2 linked regions of the Notamacropus eugenii genome follow. The protein of the gene in region 1 binds, or shares a complex with, the protein of each later gene. Links are inferred from orthologs where the notes say so. Each region holds a gene or a part of one and is shown on either strand. Other genes may lie near its edges. The genes, in order: VDAC1 and PPIF.

Region 1 (8,441 bases):
CAGTCAGGGCTAGCTCAGAAAAACCAGGTTGTTCTCATCAATGTCTTCTTAGACAAGACAAATGTAAGGGAGTATAGGTATGTCCAAGTCTAGGATATATATGACTGGTCAGTGAGTAGTAAATGTCGTTATGACCCAGTGCACAGCCTGTTCAGCCAGTACACAGCTGGTTCAGACTAATAAGTTCTATAGGTGCAGCTGGCTACTATAGCAGGAAGGGAGATAATGGTTGTTGCTAGGGCAGACTGTGTCCTTGTGCTGGGGAGAAACTGCCTGAGATAGTATTTTGAGGCTAGGGAGAAATGTGATTTTTAAAGAGAAAGGTGATTTTAGAATTGGGGCCCAAGTACATGCACCCAAGCACCTCATTATTTTCATAGGAGACTCCCAAATTTCCATGCTATCATAAATCCATTTAGATATTTTGAATATATTAAGTTGAACAAAACAAAAACAAAATTGTGGCGGACAGCCTGCGTCCCCATGTGGGTAGGTGACAGCAGTAAAGAAAAAAGACATGCAGGCAGGCGGGAGAAGATAGGGCAACTCCATTTATTGAACCAAGGGTCAGGGTATTTATAGACAGAAACTGCAAGTCTACATGACAATTTACTGGTCTCTGTGCTAGTGACTTGGCCAGTCTTATTGCCTTAAAGAATGTTAGCCTAGAGGGCATCTATTTTACATATCCCTTGTATTCCCTAGTTCTCTTGCTTATCTCACTATTTCAGAGAGACAGCAACTTGGGAGGGGGACCTGGAGAGCCATTCTGGATGATAATGAGCACAGTCTTAAAGAATAGGTTCCCTGAAGTTCTATCCTGAACTTTGCCAACAGCACTCCATCCTAGCCCTCAACACAAAATCGCTAAATTTCTAAGAATTAGAGCAATTTAAAAGCAGACTAAGAGGACTGCCGATGTATAGGAGTTTGATCCAGGGGTGACAGACTTTTCTTTACTAGAAATATTTAAGTAGGGATTGGTTGATTACTTGTCAGGGATGCTGTAGAGAGAATTCTTAGTCAGGATGGTCTTTGAGGTTTCTTTCAATTCAGTGTCTCTGATTCTGAGGTTTTTTTTTTTATGTAGGGAATTCAATAGACAAATACTAGGAGGTAGGCTATTCCTAAGTTAAGGAATAGCCTAAGCAAAAGTACAGTAGTTTGAGAGAAGGCCACAATGTCTGGGCAGAAAGTAGTAAAATTTAGTTATAGTGCACTCATTTATTTCATGGTTCATAGGATATGGAGATGGAAATGACCAAAGAGATAATCTATTCTAATCCTTTTATAGATGATGGAGGAAACTAGCCGAGAGAGAGTGTATTAAGCCAGATTAGAATGTAGATCTTCTGACTTCAAATCCAGTGTTTGCACTAAAGTTGAGTGTCTAAACCAACCCTTCATCAGCTGATATACAGGTATATGCTTATTCTCTCAAATCCTAAAACAATAAGAATTTCCCAGAAAGGAAGGGTCTTGCCCAAGGTCACTGATCTAGGCTAGAGTCAGTCTAGGTAATGAAAAGTCATGGATAAAGAGTCCATGACATTTTTTCAAAAAAGCCCTCTTTGTCATAGTGTGTATCAGGAGTGGCCAGGTCAATCTACCTCCATTACAGGTACATTAATATATATAAAGCACTTTTCTAATAACCCTGCAAGGCATGAGGCAGGCATTGCAAATATAATTATTGCTATTTTACAGATGAGAAACCTGAATTCCAGACAGAGGAAATGATTTGTCCAGAACTGTCCAGGGTAAGCATCAAACACAGGTCTTCTCACACTACCTCCACTGCTATACCATACTGTATGGTATGGCACTTTAAGAGATAGAAATTTGATTTCAGCTTTAGGCAGTGCCTGGAGGTCAAAGAATGAAGATTGTGCTGTTGACTGTTAAGAGTGACTGGGTGGCAAAGAAATGGAAATTGTGGGGAATGCCCATCAATTGGGGAATGGCTGTAGCACATGAATGTAACAGAACACTACTGTGCTATAAGAAATGATGAGCAGGCAGATTTCAGAAAACCTGGAAAGACTTTGAACTGATGCTGAAGAAAGCAAGCAATCAGGAGAATATTGTACATAGTTACAGCAACGATGTTTGATGATTAACTTTGATAGAATTATCTCTTGTCAGCAATACAATGATCCAAGACAATTTCAAAAGATTCATAATGGAAAATGTTATCTACCTCCAGAGAAAGAACTAAGGAGTTTGAATGCAGATTGAAGCATACTATTTTCACTTTTGTGTGGGGTTTTGGATTCTTTTTTCCTTTTTGTTCTGTTTCTTCTTTCAAAACATGACTAATGTGGAAATAGGTTTAACATAAATGCACACAGATAACCTACATCAGATTGCTTGCTCTTTAGGGGACGGGAGAAGGGAAAGAGGAGGGAGGCAAAATTGGAACTTAAAATCTTACAAAAATGAATGTTGAAAACTATCTTTACATGCAATTGGAAAAAACAAAATATTATTTACAAAAAAAAAAAAAGTGACCAGGAAACAAGAGACCTAGGTTCTAGTCCCAACTAATTCTCTCCTCATTGTCTCAATTTCTGTGATGGCAATCAAATTAGGATCTTTTGCTGTTTTTATTTTACTAAAATGATGTGATTAAAGAACATCTTCTTCATCCGTTGATGGGCCTGCCCTTAGAGGGAAGCTTGATTAGGGGAGTTGTTTTGTAGGAAGGTCCCAAATACCTTTTGTTTTCTCTATTGAGGCACTGGATCAGCGGGTTATGCCCTCTGGCTCTGAAAAGTGTGTATAAATATTCTGAAGGTAAGGTTTTATTTTGCAGCTTACTGACTAGAAGTGTTTGTTTGGCCAGAGGAGGACTCTGGGAAGCAGCTAAGGAGTCCTTCTCCCTCCCGCTTTGAGAAACCCAGATGTTCCCTCTCTGGTAAAAATGTGTATATGTTAATGGGCAGACATTTTAGAAGCATGTGTGCTGACTTTTGATTTCTTAGTATTTTTTCTGAAGTTCAGGTGCTGACTTTTTCTCCTGAACTAACTGAATGATACATTTGCTTGATTAAAATGATTGTTAACCCCTCAAAGGTTGCCTTTCCCTTTAGAGAAGCAGATCAAAGAACCTGTGGTAGCAGGCCCCACTGTATATATTTCGGTGCTTACTGATACAGTTTCCCCATCATCATTCTTGTTCTGGTATTCTGTGGATCTATGATTGTTTGAGTAAGAGGGAGCCAGGATAGAAACAAGAAACATTATAATTTAATCTTTGTGATAGCAAAGAAGAGATACTATTTCTACCTCTTGCGTTAGAGATAGAAGATACATTGTAGAGATATTCTCTGTGTAATTCTGTTAGATAAAATGGAGCATTTAGATGCTTCTGTGATTCATTCCAAGTTGTCCTAGATTCTTGGGTTATTTCCCCCTCCCACCTTCACTACCAGTACAATAAGGAAATATAAAATGTCAGTTATTATTACTGTTGTTATCCCTGTACTTTCTACATATATATCTTAAGTCCTGGGACATGATTACTGATGTTCAGAACCTGCAGTCTCAATAGGTTTTTACAAGGCAAAGAAGGGTTCATTGATCTTGTCTCAGATTGGAGCCCAAAGGCAGAGCCATGGTTTCTGGCTCAATCTCAGTGATTTTTCAATGACGCCAACCCCTCCTAAGTTATGAAGAGTCTAGTTCTTGGAACTACAAGATAAGGAACCCAAATAGCCCCTTAGTCACAGGGTATGTCAAGTCAGCACCTGGTGAAGCACAGGGCAAAAGTATATGGTCACATATGGTATATGTGACCAATTGTGATTGGCCACATTTATGGTTATTTTGTCTGTCCTCAGATATGCCAACCCTAGCACAACTTAATTTGGTTTCCAAAGGTGGAACATGAAATTGTCAAAGAACAAAACAAACAGGAGAGATCAAGAATTAGGCTTGTGGCTCAGAATCCTGAGAGGTTCCTGGGAGAACTGAGCTCAGATTTAGAGCTAGAAAGAACCTTAGGTGTCATCTAGGCTGAATCTCCATTTTCAACCACGTTGAAACTGAGGTCCAGTGAGGATTAGTGATTTGTGCAAAGTCATACAGGTAAGCAAATAACAGTTCAGATTTGAATAGTGATTTTCAACCTACTGCTTTTTCTCTGTTTATTAAGTGTGACTGATTTCTTTTAGATCTAAAATTGTGGACCTAGGATAAAGTATGTTGCTTACTAATAGAGGCAGTTCGGAGTGGTAGAAAGAGCTTTTGGACTGAAGGATACTTGATCGGAGAATTGGATTGGAAAAAAAGGCTCCGCCACTCACTAGCTTTAAAACCTTAGGCAAGACTTCTAACTAACTTCTCTGAGCTTAATCTATAAAATGGAGGATAATAATCCTTGCCTGTCTACCACATGGAGTTGTAAGGAAAGTCCTCTGTAAAATGCAAAGTGCTGTGGAAATGGGAGCAGAGCAGAAGAGCCCATAGGTTCAAGGGCAGACACAGAAGTGCATACACGTCGAAAGCAGCCATTCTAAACAAGCCACAAGAGGCAGGAGACAGATGGAGAAAGGAAACTGGGAGGGGGGAAGGACAGGGAGAGGGGGAAGGGAAGCAAGGGTGGGGACAAGAGCAGCGGAGGGAGGCGGGAAAGGAAAAATGGAAGAAGGGGAGGAGATTGACTCGGAGCCCGGAGGAGCCCGCACCCGGGGGCGGGCTCGCGCCGCCGCCGTGCTCCGCGCCCCGCCCCGCTCCCCCGCAGCCTCTGCCGCCCCTTTGCCTCTGTGTCCGCCGCCCTCTGCTGCTCCCGCTGCGTTCGCCGGGAGAGGAAGGTAGGGACCCCCCCCCCCAAAAAGCCCTCTATCCCCCCAGCTTCCCTTCTGTGCCCCGGAGGCGTCAAGGCTGGGGCACAGATCGGCGGAGGCTGCTTGATTTCGTGCGGAGCTGCTGCTGCGCCTACCCTGGCCACTGCCCGGGCGACCTGGCCTAGAGCCTGACCCTGAGGTCTGGGGCGGGGGCCCTCGGGCGCAGCCTAGCAGGGCACAACCCAACCCGACCCGGCCGGGATGTGGGGGCGCGCCGAATGAGTGGGGCTGCGGTGGCCGAACCGGACTGACCGCGCTGCACTGTCACCGCTGCCCTCTTGGGAGCCCTGGCCCGGGGTAGGGGGGGCCCTGCTGGCGCCCCGCTTTTTGGCCCCCTCAGCCTCGCGCCCGTGCTCCCCGAGACCCTGCCTGGGGCTGCGCGGGCTAGGGGCCTGCGCTGGGGAGGGAAGCTGGCAGGCCCGGGCGCAGCGCCACGCAGCGCTGCTGGGGACGTGACCTTCCCGGCCGGGAGCTGCGGGGCCGCGTGTGCGGACCGTGTTGCCGGTCGGGCCGGAGGCAGCCCCTGGACCCCCGCACTCTCACCGCCTTGGCTTCCCTCTCTAGTGCACATCCCCAGCCGCGGGCACCCAAACTCCACCTGCGCCTGGCTTCCACCCGGGCCTCACCCGGTGGATAGAGACCCCTAGTCTCCCCACTTTGACTTCGCACTGTCGCCCACTTTTTGGCCTTCTATTAAAACATGCCCACAGGGTTAATTGGTGTTTGGTTGGCGCTGCTTTCTCGAAGACTGTCCCTGGATAGCAGCGGCCCTTGACAGCGGCCCAGCCACACAGACAGCAGGCCACATGGCCTACGGTGAGACCGGGTGCAATTCTACCTTTGTGGAAACAGAAATACCTTCGCTCGCAAATTATTCTGTGTTAGGAAGAGAAGGGATCCTAGAGATAATGGGTTTTAATCCCCATTTTGGTCCCAGATGATGAAACTGAGACCCAAGAAGGAAAAAGAATTGGCCCAAGGTCACACTGTTCTGAGCGAGACGGAGTCTCCAGCTTGAGTCTCCTGGCTCCCTGTGCCGGGATATTTGCATTATCGAAATCTTGTTTTCCTTGTGCCTAACGTGATTGTTCTTCTGTGAAACACGTCCCTAGAATTATCAGGGAAGATTTGCTCAAATAAATATTCTAGCATTTTCTAGATTTGTGAATTAGTTACATAGTTGCTATTAACCTCGGCCATTCACTGAGGTGAATAATTAGAGGAGTGAGAAATAAATGTTCAAGGGGAAATGACTCTACTCGAAACCACATTCTCCCCGCCCCCTCTCCCCCCAGCTTAATGAGGATAACCTATTAGAGTGATAACTGCTGGGTGGCTGGAAGAAATAGCTCAGATCTGCTGGCTGCAGCTGTTAGAATTGCTAAAAGCCCCCAAAAGTCCTTTGAAATACATTTTTAAAAGTCATTTGGTGTCTCCATGAGGGAGTCTTAACCATGGTCGCTCCCTTCTCTTCTCTCTCCAATCTAAAGGGGAAAAGAGGTTTGCACAAATAACTAATGCAAGAAAGAAAAGGATAGGAGGAGGGTGTGTGAATGAGTGTCTTGTGCACTTAGAAAAATACTTCTGGTCTCCTCTTTATCCCAAATATACTTTCCATGGGAAATTGAAAATTAATTATTGCTTGGTCAAAGTCATTTACATATTGGTGGGTGTGGTCAGAAACTTTTTAAAAAAATCTGCCTGCCTTAAATTAGTCTGGGCTCTGTCACTAGCTCACTTTATGACCTTGAATAAGTCCCCTCTCTGGACCTCAGCCAGGGCGTTGGACTTTGTGATATTTAAGGTCTTTTTCTACTCTGATACCTCATGACTCTGAATACCTCCTTATATTTTAGTGTTAGTGATGTAGTGATACACATCCCTCCTCACAATTTTTGACGACTTGGCAGGATCCATGATGCACCAGTTTCTCTTAGATGAGCCTTTGGTTGTGAGTGGGTCAGTTCCTAACCCATTGCTTAGCTCTGAGCTAATAATATTATAGTTAACAAAGATTAAGTATGCATTCCTGAATGAGATGCCAAGAACCAAAGTTCTGTTCAAGAATAGATTACATATTTTTTCCCCCATCATGACATTGTCTCTTTAAACAAAGTGAAACACCAATTCCCCTGACTTTCACAGGCCCCAGCCAAGATTGGGGAACTGATGATACTTGCAAAAGGCTAGTGAGTTTGTTTTAGCCCACTCGTGTACACTTGGAAATCTTTCAGCCTCCCCCTGGATGGCCTAGCAACTTTCGACTGAGTCATCCAAAAACTGAGCATCCAGGTTTTCAAAATTCCTTTGTCTTTATTTCTTTTTTTTATTTTATCTTTTCCTTAATCCTGTTACATAGCATATTATTGTTTCCTCTGCATGTAGAGGGTAAGCAATTTGCCCCAAATCTCATAGCAAGTTTGCAGCAGAGCCAAGACTAGGAATCTGGTCTTCTAAGTGCCAGTTAATGCATTTTTTGCTTTACTGTGTTACTAACTTAAATCTTTTCTAAAAATGCTCTCAGTGTCTAATCAGAACTGTATTTGAATGTTATGATCCTATAATTTTGATAGAATCTTGTAAAACTTGTGCAAAGCCTCATTTTGCTCTTTGGTGACTGTTGGAGAAGATGCTTCATCATCAGCATCACCCTCTGTATTCTTCCCGCAATTCCACATCCAAGTGACAAATCAGAATGGAGGGCATCAAACCAGTGAATTATCAGATATTTGCAATTTCCCCTGACCACCTCTTTGTAGGCAGGAAAGGCATATCTTCATAAGAGTTTCTTCCCAAAAAGTCCACTGTAGGCTTATAAATGTGTTAAGCAAAAGAATGAATGGTACCAACTTGAAAATCACTTTGAATGATTGGCCATCCTGACTTGTGGGCTTTCGTTGAAAATGTGAGTACAGAAAGTGACTTGGCTCACATTTTTGTCTAAAGTGGTTAGTTGTCCGTATTTTATAGGTAAAGAAGGCTGAAGCTAATTAGAGCTTCATACTAACAGAAATGTCAATAACTCACATTGTGAAGTTGGCCAGATCATTGCCATCTCTGAGCTTTAGTTTCCTTCCTTGTAAAATATTGGAGTTGAACTGGAGACCATGGATTCTTAATTTTTTTTTGTCATGGATGCCCATGCAGTTTGGTGAAGTCTAGGGGTCCCTTTTCAGAATAATGTTTTTAAATGAATGAAATAGAATACATAGGATTACAAAAGAAACTAATTCTACTGAAAACAGTTATCCAAGTATATTAAAACAATTTTTTAAAATAGATTCCAGCTTAAAAATCCACAGATCAGCACTGCGAAATATGACTCCTGCTTGTTTATGTGCAGCTGTGGGCTAAGAATTGTTTTCACATTATAAAGTTTTATTGAATTTTAAAATGTAAAAACAATTCTTAACTTGCTGGCTGTACAAAAATAGGTAATCCTGCAGGTGCATTTGGCCCTTGAGCTATAGTTTGGGGACCCTTGGACTAGGCTCTTGCCTAGCCATAATAATCTATGAGCCTGTGAGAAAAGATCCACAACTTTGTTGGTTGGGCATTTTCACTTTAGTCCTCGCATTGTTTCTTGATTCCATT
Region 2 (8,136 bases), about 110 Mb from region 1:
GCAAGTCACTTACCTGCCAAATGAAGGGAGTGAACTACACAGCTTCTGGGGTCTTCTCCAACTCCATATCTGTGGTCTTATGAACCAGCTCACAACTGGATGCCATTATCACACCCATTTTACAGATGAGGCCAGCAGAAATGAAGGGACTTGTTCATGGTATCATTGCTAATAACTCAGGGAGTTCTCCCTGAACTCTTCCCATTCATTCTGTTAGAATGCCTCTAGTTACTTTCCTATTTGCAAAACGCCTGACTTCCATTATTCTCTTTTGATCCTTACTTCCAAAGCCGGGAGGAAGGTGATGAAAGACAGACTAATTAACAACCAGGGTCATTCCCCTAGTATTGAAGGAGCAGGGCTGATATTCAAAGCCAGGTTTTCTGTCTCCAGAGCTAAGGCTCTTTTCTACTCTTTCCAGCATAGAAAAGTTTCTGGGAAATGCATCTTGTAAAAATGGTCGAAGGAACATGCTTAGCATGGAGAAAAGGAGACAGAGTTGTCAAACAGGGGCTGTCACAGGGAAGAGACACACAGTCATCACCCCTGTTCTGGGCAGCTCCAGTGGCTCATATCTTATTTGGAAAAAAGGGGAGAGCCTTTCAGATCCACATGAGGGGAAACAGTTGAACATACTGATGACCATCTAGACTTGGGGGCAATGTTTTCAGAAAGAATTCTTGCATCACAGATGTCAGCAGGACTAGATACAATTCAGTTCAATGGGATACATGTGTTAAAGCCTATAAACCGAGCAGCAAGTATTTATTGAGTGCTGACATGTCCCGTTCTAAGTATTTCATACTTAGGACTTTACTTCATCTTTCCTCAAAGAGTATATATTCTACTGAAGGAATACAATATTTGAGTATCCCCTCATTGGAGAAATCTTTCCTCCGCTATCTGCATGGCTGCCCTTGAACCTCCCATCTCTCTGTCAGCGAGAGAAGGCACTTGCTGTCTGTCCCAGGTTTGGTCTGCCTTGAGAGATACAGATGATGGCAAAGCCTGGGTCTCAGTAACAGCTCAGCAACTAACCATTTGAGGGACCGTAGACAAATGACTTCCCCTCTTTGGCCTCCATTTCCCATTCTGTAAAATGAGGGACTTGGTCTCTAAAGTCCTGATGATTTTTTTTTAATTTTCCAGGGAGTAGCTTTCCTTTTATTATTATTTTTTTTGGCCATTTAGAACTTTAAGCTGTGGAGAGATGGGAGGACAGTGTCTCTCTGATATTATCCATAGTCCTATTCCTTTTGGGGGCAGTATGAGAAGGTTTTAACCTGGTAGCATTGCTGGGAGGGCCCTGGAAAGGGGAAAGAGGATGGAAAATACTCATGGTGGATACAATCAATCTATATACTCACCATAAGGAATAGGGTTTGGGAAAATAAATGGAGAATAGAAACCATATCATTTAGCACTCACTTCACACTGATTTTTAATTATTACTAATAAGAATGATTTTAAAGCTCACATTTATAGGGTGTTTTAAGGTTCACAAGGTACCTTCTCCACATCAACCCTATGAAGGTTGGAGTTTAAATGAGGCAGGGGATAGGGCTCCAGCTTCAGAAGGCAGAGCCCTGTGGTCCATTCAAGAAAGTTTGGGGCTCCTGGACTCACGGATTGCATGATGAAGCACAAACTTGGAAAATGAAGAAAACAGAAGGGGAGACTTAAGAAAAAAGAAAAGCTTGTTTAGAGTCTGAAACTAGGTGATTTGATGGACAGGAAAGCTGAAGGCTGTGATCTATGCAGTCCTACTGAGGGCGCTGAGGTACTACCAAGGTGTCCCTAAGCCAAGATCCTGGCAGAACCTAATGACTCCACAGCTGAGAGGTTTTGGCAAATTCTAGCCTTCCGGTATAGATTAGCAGATTTCCTTGGAGGTCATTGAGAGAGCAATGATAAGGTTTCTTTACTTCTTCATCCATTTTCCCTAAGAGGTTTTCTTCCATATCCATTACTTTGGATGACAAAGATATTAAGCTCAGTTGTATATGGGTAGCAGAGAATGACCCCATTGTTTAATTATTTCCTTATTAGTTACACTGATTTTGTATCTTAATTAAAAGCTTTTGCTATTAGGTTACTTGAATGACTTGGTAACAATGTTGAACTAGATGACTTTGGTGGTAAGATGCATAAATGATTACACAAGTCAGCCATACTGAAACTGGGAAAAGTATCAAGGGCTTCCAAACTGAAATTTAAGTGACACAATCTCTGCCCTCACGGCAGAAGCTTTGCAATCCAAGAGGAGAATATTCTTAGATAACTATAACATATAACAGCATCTGAGAAGGACAAAGCAAAGAGTTCCCATTTCCCCCCACCTGTCTGAGGTTCTCTGCATCACTATGTATTTTTGTCTTTCACTCTCCTGATAGGTCTCTGTCCCTGTCTTCTTGCAACTAACTCTATTTCCTGACATAGGAGCCAAAACTTGAGAGCCTTTTGTCTAAAAAAAGAGTGAGAAAACTTCTTACCTATCTCCAACAGTTCAGAGAATGGGAGAGAAAGATGATCCCATCAAGCCTCAGGGGATTTCTCAGTTCCTGGAAGACCACTTCATCTGTCCCACCCTCAGTTTTCTCATCAGCAACACCAAGACAATATGTTATCGCTTGATAATCATATAATATAAGTTTTGGACTTTAATAAGGGCCAGAGCTTGAATTAATCAATTAGAAGAAGAGCCTGGATCTAACAGTCTCTTTGTTCTCTGAAGTAAACTCAGAGAATACCTCTTCCTATGTTAACAAAGCCAGATGGGGCTGACTTAGCATTCCTTAGGAGGCCCTTAACCCTAGACACTATCTTGAATGATGGGACTTTTTCCATATCTTAATATCTTGGGGACATATACTATGTCATGGAATGTTAATGGTAAAGAAAACACAGATCCCTCAGGTCGTGATTTCAATAGAAACCTTGTCATCTCTGTTATCTTATTATATTTACAACCTATGCAATTAAGAAATTCCTTTCTCGTGGTATAGTTAATCATTCATACAGACCACAAATCTGAAGGACACAGACAATCTTGGATTGTCCTAAAACAGATTTGAGCCTGATCATTCTTGTATTAGTCAGCCAGAAGTTTTTCTGGCTCCATGATCATGTAACTGCTAGCTTTAAGGGAACACACAATATGCATTTAGCCTGTTTGTCTTTTTTTAACCAAACTTCCAGGTCAACACACTGTATGCCAGTGGATAGAAAGCTGTCTTTGGAATCAGGAATCAATTAATCAATTTCAATTCAATTCAATAAATATTTATTAAGTGTATACTATGTGCCAAGGGATTAAAAAAAGAGAAAAAAGACAGTTCTAACCCTCAAAGAGTTTATAACAAAATGGGAGAGAAAATATGCAAACAAATTTATATGATGCAAGCTGTATTCAAGCAGCTAGGTGATAGCAGTGGATAGAGTACTGGGTCTGGAGTCGGGAAGACTCCTGTTGAGGAGTATGAGTCTGGCTTCAGATACTTACCTGCTGTGTGGCCCTGGGCAAGTCACTTAACCCTATCTGCCTCTGTTTCCTCGTCTGTAAAATGAGATGGAGAAGGAAATGACAAACCACTCCAGTATCTTTGCCAAGAAAGCCCAAAATGAAGAGTTGGACAGGGCTAAAACGACTTAACGATTACAATAACTATATTTATGATAAATAGGAAACCATAGGGGGAATGCACTAGAATTAGAGGGGATGAGAAAGGCTTCCAACAAAAGATAGGATTTTAATTGGTACTTAATGGAAGCCGAGGGGTCAGTAGTCAGAGTGGAGGAAGGAGAGCTATTCCAGGCATGGTAGAGAGCTGAGAGGTGGAGGGTCTTGTTCGTAGAACAGCCAGGAGGACAGTGTTCACCTCGGGGCAACACCTGGACTCCAGCGCAGCCTCTGATAGTGTTTTTGTGACCCTGTGTTATCACTGTAGGCACCTGTGTTATCACAGTAGGCACCTGTGTTGAGTGTAAACTGCACAGAAAGTGCCCACTCGCATTGGTGAAGGGAGTTTGCTCATTCGGAAGTTCCCTGCGCACAGATGAGGCAATCCTAGGGGAAGTCCCCCTCCCGTGCCCAACAAAAGCCCTGGATGGGAAAGCCAGGGCAGGTGCCCCAGGCCCGGCTGGAGGAAGTCACCGCGGGCAGGCTGGTAGGTGTGCCCAGCCTCCAGCCTCCATGCCCACGCCCAGGGGCGGGGCCGCCGCGGGGTTAAAAGCCCGAGTGCGGAGGGGCGGGCGTTCCTTTCGCGCTTCAGGACGCAGCGGGCGCCCCTCGGTCCGTGCGCACGCTCTCCGTTCCCCGCTTCTCCTGCCTTCCGTGCGCCTCGGTCCGCGATGCTGGCCCTGCGCGCCGGCCCCCGCCTGCTGAGCCTGGGCCTGGCCCCGCGGCGGATCTCCGCGGCCCCCACGCTCGCCCGGCTCCGCGGCGCCCGTAGCAGCGCCAGCAGCTCCGACTCGGGGCCCGGCGGGGCCGCCAAGAACCCGCTCGTCTACCTGGACGTGGGCGCCGAGGAGCAGCCGCTCGGCCGGGTGGTGCTGGAGGTGGGTGCAGAGCCGCGCTGGGCTGCGCCGGGCCGGCCCCAGCTCAAGGTCATGGGCGGAGGGGGCGGGGCCTGGCGCTGGCCCTCTGATTGGGGGGATGGTCCCGGAGGGAGGGGGGGCACCGTCCGGGCAGCTTCTCGGACCCTTCACGCGGAGAGTCGTGGGAAGGCGCTTGGACCGCGGGTTTGGCATCTGCCTTAAACGAGTCTGTCAATCACTCCGGGCCTCGTATCAGAAATGAGGAAACTGATGAGATTGGAGAAGTGGTCTGTCTTCCAGCGGTCACCCCCCCCCCCCAACTTTATGAATTTTAAGTTTTCAGAGGCAGGGGTGGGGGAGTTGGGAAGCCTTGCTCCTCTCTCCCCGGGAGTGGAGGGAGAGAAACATTGGGAAAATTAGTTCAAGGTCATCCCCGGAGAAGTCAAGGGCCAGCAGGTCTGGCCCCACTGTATAAGGATTGGGGGACTAGGGGGCAGAGGTGAACGGGAAAGGTCAAAATGAAGAACTGCTGGGTAGAGCTGTTATCAGGAATCCCCGCCCTAGGCAGCCTAATTGCCCTTCCAAGGGAGCGGGAGAGGAGCTCTGGCTTTGGGGGTTGGGGAGAGGATTCAGAATTCTTGGCTCCTAGGTTGGGGAGGGAAAAAAAAAGCAAACCACCGAGGGTCACGTGGCCCCAGCAACTATTTGCATAAGTGTTTGCTTGTGTGGGTTTTGGAGTCCGCAACTCCATCCCCATAAAGCCCTGGAATTTCGAGTCCTGGAGGTTTGAGACTAGCCATCCTCACTTAGCTCATTCCATATAATAGTAATAATAACTCACTTTTATATAAGTTTTTACAATGTATCAAGTGCTTCCCTCACTACAACTTTGTGAAGTAGCTAGTAGTACCTCTAATGATCCCCATAGTTGAGAATCTTGAGACCCTGCCTCACAGCCAGTAAATGTTCGAGGTGGGATTTGATCCCCAGTTTCCTTAACTAAAGCCCGGGACCCTTTTCATTATAGCCTATGGCCTCTTGCAGATTTATTTGATTAATTAGGATTGAGTCAGGCACTGAGAGACATACAGAAGTAGAGATAGATAGGGCACATTCCTTTGCCTCAGTGACTTTACAGTTTGATTTTCCATTCAGCAATGTGGGGGAAGCTGGTGGATGAAGGGTGTATGAGAGAAGGCATAGAGCTCCGTTGAGCAGGGAGAACTAAGCAGTGTCCTGTGCTGGCAAAATGCTGAATGAGATCCTTGTCTTCTATTGATTCTACTAGTTGGAGCTAGGCTTGCCTAGGACTCTTGTTTTTTGTGTGCTCAGAGGCTCCTTGCTTTCTCTAGCCACCCGCCCTCAGATGACTTGGACAGCCAGTGATAACCTGGAGCCAAGGCATGGCAGTAGTTGTCCTAGGCTTGTGTGAATAGGAGCTGGCAGGGCCTTTCCTCAAAGGTTGCCACCCAAAGTGGTCATCATGACCCTGAATCAAGTAGCCTTTTAATCCAACAAATAGTTGTTGAATGCTCCATCAGGTCTGATGTAAACCTCTGGGCATCCCTCAGTTTCCTTGTCTGTAAATTGGACATATTTATGCACCTGCTTCACAGGATTGTTGTGAGTATTAGTAGATTTAGAAAAGGTTTCAAGCCGGTACACAAATGTGGAGGATGACTAGGAGTCAGGAGCCACTAACTTGCTTTCTGACCTGGCACAAATCGCTTTTCCTGTGCTCAACCTCAATTTTCTCATCTTATAAAATGTGAAGGATCTGTTAGAAGATTAGTAAAATAGCTTCTGGCCTTAAAATTGGGGTTCTCTTATTGTGAGCTCAGCCCTGGTGCTAGACATCTTGAGAACCTATAAGAAGAAAAGACATAATGAATGATCTTGGGCAAGTCATTTAACCTCTGTTTGTCTCAGTTTCCTCAACTATAAAACGAGGATAATAACAGCACCTACCTCCCAGGGCTGTTGTGAAAATCAGTGAAATAATACTTATAAAGAGTTTAGCACAGTGCCTGGCATATAGTAAGATTTGTATAAATGTTAGTTTTTATTTCTATAAAAGCTATTATTATTCTAATTTTTGCCTTTCAGGAACCTGTAAGCTGGTTGTATAAGATAATCGTCAAGTGTGGAAGTGTTGGAAAGATGATAAACTTACATGTTTATAGAGCTTTGCAGCTTAGAATACTATAGAAAAAAATCCCATTTTTATAGGGTTTTGAAGCTTATAAAGGATTTTTCTTACAACAGTTGTGTGAAGTAGGCAGTGCAGGCATTGTTACTGCATTTTATAGATGAGGAAACTGGAAGAGAAATTTAAGTTACTTGCTCAAGGTCATACAGCTAGTAAGTGAGAGAAGCAGGGCCTGACTGCATTGTGAATTATCCTCCTCTCTCACTGTAAGGCCTGATGGAGTGGTCCAGGTGTGGTGCAGGAGTGGGGGAGTGGGTAGAGGTTACTTTGGGCTGAAGGAAAGCTCTTGGTCAAGGATTCCACCCCCTGTTCCTCCTATGACAATCAGTCCTGGGCAAATGAACTTGAAGCACTTCTGCCCTTATCGCCTGGCCTTCCTTTCCCTCCCCTCATGTTAAAGACCCTAACCAGTTAAGGGTCCCTTGAAAAACAGCTTTGGTGGCATCCAGAAAGTGGATGCCGGTGTGGTGTCTCTCTCAGTAATATACACTTATCTTTTTGGTGCTAGTTCATACCATTAAGGAAAATAATATGAATTGTAGCTCCCAAATTGTGTTTAAAATTTTACCCAAGCTCTTTATAGACCTGACCCTTAACCACCCTATGATGTTAATGCCGTTATTATGCCCCTTTTACCGTTAGGAAAGTGAAGGCAGAGAGGTTGTAACTTGATGTTGATGACAGCTTTCACGCTATAACTAAATGTCCAAAGTGGTATTCAACCCAGGTCAGGTTTGTTTGGTTCAGGTATAAAAGAACCTGAGATGGTAGTGGGGAGAGAATATGGATTAATCCAGTCCTGGACTAGAATTAGGTCTTTCTAGGTCAGACTATCATTCCCATCAGTCTGAAGTTTCCATGGAGGCAAAGCCTTTTCCCCCTCAGTGACCTCTTTGAGGGAAGAGACCTTATAATTTTCCTCCATCTTTGCATCCCTGTTACCTAGCTACTACAAGGCCCTGTTTACAACAATAATAATTCCAAGTTAGTAGAATCATAGACTGTCAGAGTTGGAAGGGATCCCAGAAGCCATCTGATCTAACCCCCACATTTTACAGATGAAGAAACTGAGGCTCAGAGAGGTTAAGGAATTGTCCAGATGTCATACAGGTAGGAAAGGGCAGAGCAGGAATTGGAAGCCCATTCCCATGATCCAAAATCTGGTGTTCTTTTCATGATATCATGCTGCTTCTAATCATCTTGTTCAATCCCATCATTTTATAGATGAGGAAACTTGAAACCCAGATCAATTAATGGACCTATGGAAGGTCAGCCTCTAGTTAGTGACCCAGCTATAACTAGAACTCTGGTTTCTTGACTCCAGGGCTGTCCCCTTGCTGAGTGCCATGAGATCCATTCTCTTGGATGTGCCCCCAAACTGACTCATTCTT

What was found.
Region 2: VDAC1 (region 1) and PPIF share a complex: the UniProt entries of both Homo sapiens proteins name them as parts of the mitochondrial permeability transition pore complex. The link is inferred for Notamacropus eugenii from reciprocal best matches to the Homo sapiens genes VDAC1 and PPIF.

The regions. Positions count from the first base shown.
Region 1 is NC_092872.1:341,432,822-341,441,262, forward strand, and holds the start of VDAC1 (non-selective voltage-gated ion channel VDAC1), read left to right. Parts: upstream 1-4,651; 5' UTR 4,652-4,814; intron 4,815-5,557; exon of another isoform or gene 5,558-5,663; intron 5,664-8,441. UniProt on the Homo sapiens protein: Non-selective voltage-gated ion channel that mediates the transport of anions and cations through the mitochondrion outer membrane and plasma membrane.
Region 2 is NC_092872.1:229,940,795-229,948,930, reverse strand, and holds the start of PPIF (peptidyl-prolyl cis-trans isomerase F, mitochondrial), read left to right. Parts: upstream 1-4,249; 5' UTR 4,250-4,350; coding exon 4,351-4,557; intron 4,558-8,136. UniProt on the Homo sapiens protein: PPIase that catalyzes the cis-trans isomerization of proline imidic peptide bonds in oligopeptides and may therefore assist protein folding. Involved in regulation of the mitochondrial permeability transition pore (mPTP).